Linked DNA regions of Macaca fascicularis. The protein of the gene in region 1 interacts with the protein of each later gene in a biochemical or structural test. Links are inferred from orthologs where the notes say so. Each region holds a gene or a part of one and is shown in the gene's direction. Other genes may lie near its edges.

What was found. The genes of interacting proteins can lie anywhere in the genome.
Region 2: the proteins of NR2F1 (region 1) and BCL11B form a complex in vitro, tested with the Homo sapiens proteins (2 studies listed by BioGRID). The link is inferred for Macaca fascicularis from reciprocal best matches to the Homo sapiens genes NR2F1 and BCL11B.

What each region holds. Positions count from the first base shown.
Region 1 is NC_088380.1:97,588,465-97,592,114, forward strand, and holds part of NR2F1 (COUP transcription factor 1), read left to right. Parts: intron 1-971; exon of another isoform or gene 972-1,071; coding exon of another isoform or gene 1,072-1,084; intron 1,085-1,759; coding exon 1,760-2,287; intron 2,288-3,650. UniProt on the Homo sapiens protein: Coup (chicken ovalbumin upstream promoter) transcription factor binds to the ovalbumin promoter and, in conjunction with another protein (S300-II) stimulates initiation of transcription. Binds to both direct repeats and palindromes of the 5'-AGGTCA-3' motif.
Region 2 is NC_088381.1:167,329,693-167,333,342, reverse strand, and holds part of BCL11B (B-cell lymphoma/leukemia 11B), read left to right. Parts: intron 1-835; coding exon 836-1,204; intron 1,205-3,650. UniProt on the Homo sapiens protein: Key regulator of both differentiation and survival of T-lymphocytes during thymocyte development in mammals.

The sequences.
Region 1 (3,650 bases):
CCTCTACTTTGAAAGGAAAGTTTGTGACTGAACCGTGCTTTCATAGTTGTGTCATTTTTTTTAAAGCATGATACTCGTTTTATTTCTTCATCAAACTCCACCCTCTGCTTAAATACTGCATACAAATTACAATTTACAACGGCATTTACCGATCCTTCTGATTTGGCCATAATGCATAGACTGCAGCTGGCATGAGCTTCCACATCATTTAATCCCTGTGTTGTATGGCTTTGTTTTTTAAAAAAACACAACTTTTGATGTTGTATTTGGATATGCTTCATGTTCATGTGGCAAGAGATGCAGTACTTTTCTTATAACTATATTTAGCCGTTTACAGTTAAACTTTATCTCTTGACAATCATTAAAGATGTCTTATAGTCAAATTAGCGAACCAGTCAATTTTGCAGAATGCAGATTACTCCTTCTTGTAATTGACTTTAAAATTATATTTTATATGCCACAAGAAAAGAAATTGAATTCCTTCAGATCTTAAGGAGCAGACAAATATGACTACTTCATTTCTAGCTCCAGGGAGATTTTGTAGGCATCTGAAAGAAAAAAAAAAAAAAACAACTTTGAATTGTACTCTCACTTAATTGAAAAATAACTGCCAAGTTCAAAACTATAATTAGAAAAAAGTATTCTAGCCATTATGTTTCAAGAGCTTAAATTGCACTGGAACTTGCATTAAAATTAGAATCAAAGCAAACTTCAGAAAATAGAGCAAAACCTGAAATAAGACAGCTACATGTACATGAACATATCTATATTAATTTGTTGGGGGGAAGAGTTCAGTAGCCCTAACTTCTCCTAAAGTTGTCTTTGTTTACATGGCAATTTAAAACGCTGGCACTGTTGAAGTAAAACATACACATTAAAAAAAAAAAAAAAAAAAAAAACTTTGGTCAGCTTTAAGAACTCAAAGCATGCTTACGTTTTGCATTCAGATGGTTAATGAATCCAGTGTTTTTGCAGTTGAAAGCTCGTGCATTCACTGGGCAAAAGCTGGCTGCAGGTTGCAGTGGCACCGCGCAGGACAGACATTAATTATATTTCCTACTTTTTTCAATAATGTTTGGCTACTGTAAGTTCAACTTTTTTTCTTGAAAATTTTCAATTTTCTGTTGCTTTTAATAGTGAGAACTTTGTATGGGGCGACGGGGAGGAGAGGAGAAGGGAGGGGCGCAGGATACTTGTTCTCTACTCAAAAGTTGTAAGTGGTTAGTAGGATATGTAACTTGTGTCTATTTTAAGAATTATTCTATAGCATTTTAAGAGAATGTGGAAACATTTTATCAGCAAAACGCTGCTTGCTTGCAAATGAGGAGGCCGCTAGGCATTTGCCTAGAACCACAACCTTTCTCCGGTTTCGCCTTTTTTTAACCTTGATTTTTTTCCCCCCCATTCTGGAGGGGTGAGTGGGGTTTCATTTATCTGTGTGTTCCCCCTTGGTGGCTTAGGGGTTGGGTGACACTTTCTTGACCTTGCCAGGGTGGGGGCCCTGTAGTCAGGCCTAGCTCCGGCGGGGCTGAGGTGGCCAAGGGCTCAGGCGATGGCTGGACACATCGAGCTGTGGAGCTGGAGGGCCTCACCCCAGATCTCCTAGCGGTGTGGACTGTGAGAGCGAGCCGGAGAAGATGCGCGGGGCGCGTGTGGCTGCGGGAAGAGCTTCTGCATTGTGTTGGGTACGCTGCGGCGCGGCAATGTTCGCAAGCCCCCTGGATGCACATTGCCTCTTTTCTCTCTTTCTTTTTGTCAGCGGTTCAGCGAGGAAGAATGCCTCCAACCCAGCCCAATCCAGGCCAGTACGCACTCACCAACGGGGACCCCCTCAACGGCCACTGCTACCTGTCCGGCTACATCTCGCTGCTGCTGCGCGCCGAGCCCTACCCCACGTCGCGCTACGGCAGCCAGTGCATGCAGCCCAACAACATTATGGGCATCGAGAACATCTGCGAGCTGGCGGCGCGCCTGCTCTTCAGCGCCGTCGAGTGGGCCCGCAACATCCCCTTCTTCCCGGATCTGCAGATCACCGACCAGGTGTCCCTGCTACGCCTCACCTGGAGCGAGCTGTTCGTGCTCAACGCGGCCCAGTGCTCTATGCCGCTGCACGTGGCGCCGCTGCTGGCCGCCGCCGGCCTGCACGCCTCGCCCATGTCCGCCGACCGCGTCGTGGCCTTCATGGACCACATCCGCATCTTCCAGGAGCAGGTGGAGAAGCTCAAGGCGCTGCACGTCGACTCGGCCGAGTACAGCTGCCTCAAAGCCATCGTGCTGTTCACGTCAGGTGAGGCTGCGGTCGCGGGGAGGGCAGGCCGCGCCGGCGGCGAGCGCAGGCCCAGCGCCGCCCGGGCCTGGCCTTCGGAGCCTCCCGCGCAGCCGGTGCGTGTCGGGTCGGGCCCTTGCTGTGCACTGAGCCTGGCCGGGGTCTGGTGACCCCCGCGCGGGGACCGGCCAGCCGCGCCGCTGCCATCTTGGGAGCGCGGCGGTGCGGGAACCGAGGCGGCGCGGGTGCGGCCGGCGGGCGGCCGGGCCTGGTCGCGCGGACCCCTACCTGGGGCCGCGGCTGCCGCTGGTGTGTGTCTGAGGCGGGGGGGGGGGGGGGGCCGGGGGGCGGTGCTGTGGATCCGTCTGGCTGCGTGTGTGTGTGTGTGTGTGTGTGTGTGTGTGTGTGTGTGTGTATGTGTGTGTGTGTGGTGCGTGTTATGTGTGAGCCAGAGCTCAGCGTTTCTGGGGGAGGCGAGGGAAGGAAGAGAACGTGGGAATGTGGCTTCTTACCCTTTGTGGCACGCTCCTTGGATGAGTTTCCCGACACAGAGAGACACAGAGAGAGGTGGAAAGAGAAGAATACGCACAAATAAATCATAAATAATCCCGCTTTATCGCTGCCTGATTTTCCCTTATCGGAAACCATTCATGTTTGCAGTTGCTGAGGTTATTGAGGGTCGTAAAAAACGGATTCGATCTAAACAAGAAAGATAAAAAACAAAGGCAATACTGTAGAACCCGCAAGTATGGGAGGATTCCCCGCCTGGAGATGAATTCCAAAGCTATGCAAAACACATGAAGGTTGGAAATTTAACAGAGTGACTTTAAAAATATCAAATTATGTGTAGGCAGTGGTAACATGTATGTTAACAATTTCTCTTATGATAGATGGTTCAAATTAACTTCCAGGAAAGTGCATTAACGTTTCCTTTGAAGGGCTCTGGTCTGAGCCTCTGAGAACATTGCCGGCTTTTTATTATTATAACATGCAAGAGGGAAACATATAAACACCCAGGACAGCAGGTAATGGGGAGAAATAGAAACAAAGCCAGAGAGGACGCTGGTGGGAAGTAGTGCTGCTTACACTGGGTCTTGGGCCCTGACCACTGTGAGTAGGGTTAGCTGCAGTTTTACCACCATTATTGGCAGTATTGTTTTTAATTCCTCCATTCGGAGAACAAATAAACCATCCCAATAAATCTGTCCTAAAGCCAGGCTTTCCAATGGCCAAATTAAAACCATTCTTGAACAGAGATACCAAAATCCCTTTCCTAAGGCCTTGTTGAACAGTAAGCAATGGTATAATCTATCAATATTTCTTGGCTTTCATGCGTGAAGAATCGTATTTACATTGTATTAAAATGACTCTTAAATTTGCACAA
Region 2 (3,650 bases), on another chromosome or scaffold:
GGCAGGGAGAGCCGGCTTCCCAACTCTGCAAGCCGGTTCCAGCCTCCCTTCTGCTGCAGTGCTTTCTCCTAAGATATTTTTTTGGAACCTGACACTCACTTGTTGCTTTCTGAGCATGTGGGCTTCCTTCTCTCCTAAGGACGGACCCCGAGACGCCCATCTGGGTTTCTGTTTTCTAGTTTGGTGTGTTTCCAGGTCCCAGGTAGAGGAATGTCAGTGGGATTCGCATGAATGGGGAGGGCATGAATGAAGGTGTAAGGGATGGGAGGGGTGGGGCTCCAGCCCAGCAGGGGGAAAGGGTTCCAGCTCACTGGTTCTCAGCCCTGGCTGCCCATTGGAATCACCTGGGGAGTCTGAAAGAATATTCCGATGTTTGTTCCCAGGGTAATTGGTCAGGGGGGTGCTGCCTGGACCTTGGGATTTTTCAAAGCCTCCAGGTGATTCTCAGATACTGTAAACTTTGAGAGACATGTCACGATCTCATGCTATCAGCAGCCACGGTGTGTGTGTTTGCGCGTGTGTTCGTGTGTGTTCTTATACTACGTTGGCGAGAAACTGGCAGAAAATAAACTAGAATGCAGTAAGATCAGCACTACTTATGTGGCAATGCCCAGGGGGCATGACGTTGCTCCAAGAGCCTCAGTGTGTGCCCGTCTGTCCCGTGGGGGATGCTCACCAGCCCCCAACCCCAGGGAGGACCTGGTGAGCTCTAGCAGCCAGCAGCAGTGGGGTCTGCTTCTTGGTGGGGATGGGGTGGACCGGAAGTCGGGTGCTGTGACCGCCTAAGCCCATCTCTATCTTCTCTGCCCCTTCCCTTTCTTCTTTCTGTCTCCAGCAGAGGCTGACCATGTGGAGGCTGCCATCCTCGAAGAAGACGAGGGTCTGGAGATAGAGGAGCCAAGTGGCCTGGGGCTGATGGTGGGTGGCCCCGACCCTGACCTGCTCACCTGTGGCCAGTGTCAAATGAACTTCCCCTTGGGGGACATCCTGGTTTTTATAGAGCACAAAAGGAAGCAGTGTGGCGGCAGCTTGGGTGCCTGCTATGACAAGGCCCTGGACAAGGACAGCCCGCCGCCCTCCTCACGCTCCGAGCTCAGGAAAGTGTCCGAGCCGGTGGAGATCGGGATCCAAGTCACCCCCGACGAAGATGACCACCTGCTCTCGCCCACGAAAGGCATCTGTCCCAAGCAGGAGAACATTGCAGGTATGGGATGCTGCGCTTGCCTGGTTGCTCCAGAAGGCACCTCCGGGGTCCCACGCCCTCTGTCTGAGTGTACTGGTGCAGGGGAAGGCCCAGGGGCTTCCAGGATGGCCTCTGGGCCACCAGCCAGGGCTCCCCCTTTCTGAGGGTCCACCATCCAGGTGACCTTCAGGAGGAGACAGGCCTGGGGCTCGGGGAGGCCCAAATGACTGATGGCTGCTTGCTTTTGGTGAGGGGACTCTGTCTCAGGGGCTAATCCAGAGGTGGTCAGAAGCACAGAATGAAAATTTGGAAGTCTGGTTGGCCCTCTCTTTGCTACTGATCTCGGCTTAGTCCCTGATTTTGAAGCTACACAGTCTTGGGTTAGAATTTGTCTTCACAACTTGGACATGTCAGTTTGCCCATCTATGAAATGGAGCTAAGGAAACCCACCTATTAGGGTTGCTGTGAGGATTAATGAGCTGTTGCATGCGGCGTGACCTGGTAGGCACTTAGGAATGGGAGTGCTTATTCTCTCCCCTCTCCTTTCTCTCTGGACTCAGTTTCCCATGTGTGAAAAGAGGAGTTAGGCCCCCTGATCTCAGACGTTGCTTCTGACGTTGCCTGACCCCAGGGGCCGGTCCCAGGCAGGGGTGTGGGAACTTGTTGGAGCACTGTGCCCGTTGGGGGAGGTTGGACATGCCCTTTGACATGCTCACTCATTCGACCACTGGGACAGCTGGTTTTACCACCTTGAGAACAGGTCTAGGGCCCCTCTGTCCCCAGGCATGGGTCTGCTCACCACAGCGAGTTAGCATGAAGTCCCTCCCTCTTGGCCAGCACCATGGCATGCTGGAACCTCTTCTGGGGAGCCACTGCTTTCTGTGCAAACCAGAGTGTTTGTTTCTGGTTTATACTTCTGAGCCCAGGAGGCCTGGGGGAGAAAGGAGGGCCTGGCCAGCCTGGGTTCCCTAAAAAGCAGCAGCCCGTCCTGGAGCAAGACGGGCATCAGAGTTTATGCAGACGAGTCTTCAAATCCTGATGGTTGACTTTGGGTTAGCCACTTCATGGGTCTGAGCCTCAGTTTCCCCATCTGTCAACAGAAATGGTAATACCAGCAGGCCTGGTGTGAGGATTAGATGAGCAGGGGCTCTTAATCAGTTTTTTGCCTGTGGCACTTCTCTCTCAGGGGCCTCCTCTGGCTCTGCGGCATGCAAGTAGGTGGCTGGCTGGGGAAACGAGTGCATTGATCATTACCATGCTTCCATCATGGAAGGTAGCATGGGCTCTGGAGGGACTCAGGCTTTGGATGCTTCTAGGAGGGTGAGACAGATGGGCTTGGGCACTCATCAACACCCATCACCCAGGACGCAGTCAGGGTAATGCTGCAAGCCTGTCTCCCCCAAGTCTCCAAAGCTTTGTGACACTGAGCCTCACTTTGCTCACCTGTACAAGGGACTTAGTGAGCCCTCTCTTTTGTGGGGAGACTGGTGGTATGTAGATTCCTGCAGCCTCCTGCCAGGCACTGGGGAGGCATCAGTGAACCAGATTGGCCTCTGGGCCTTGCCTTCTGATGGGTGCCCTAGCATGAAGTGTCTCATAAGCTTTCCAAGATGCAAGGGGCTTTGAGACATGTCCAGGCCACAGGCATGTAAACACTGGCTTCTCAGAGTGCTGTGAACACCCGAGCAGCGTCTCTTCCCCGGGCTGAGCCACCAGGCCAGAGAGGTGCTGGGTGCCTTTTGTCTTTGTTGATTGATGTTCTGGGGACAGTTTCACCTGTAGTGTCAATGCCTGGCCTCAGTGCACATAGATCTTTCAGGGGTGGCCTTGCCAGGGAGACTTGGGCCACCTATTTATGTTTCAATGGAAAGATTTGCTGCTTTTGCCAAAAACATCCAAATCCTCATTTCACATTGAAGGCATTTCCCAGTGAGAGGCTGCAGATCACTGTGGCAGGTTTGTTTAAGAAAGTGACTAAATGTGATTTCATAAAAGGCAAAGTTAATCTCCAAGGCAGCTTTGTCCTCATCCTTCCACCCTCTGGCCCCCCTGTTTTTTTTTTTTTTTTTCCTGGGTTGTGATACTGCAGCAGGCTACAGTATTTTTATTTTATGTGTGACGAAAGATATTCTTGGCCTTTCTGTTCAGCAACAGGACGAATGGATTTCTTCATTCTAGAAGAAATATGTAAAATAATCCCTTAGAAGTCTAAAGAGATATGTTTGTTCAAAGCATTTAAAATGTTATTTTAATCAAAGGCACAAAACAGTCTACATGCTGTGTCAGCTGAAGACGACCATCCCATTTTAACAGCACACCATGCGTCTGCCTTTCTAGTTCCCATTCCTCCTATTTCCCTGCCTACTTGGGCACCAACTTTTCTTTTCTTTTCTTATTTAATAAAAAGGAAAGATTAAAGAATAAAACTTCAGTGGCTCAAATGTATAAAGTAATTTAATATGGTGGG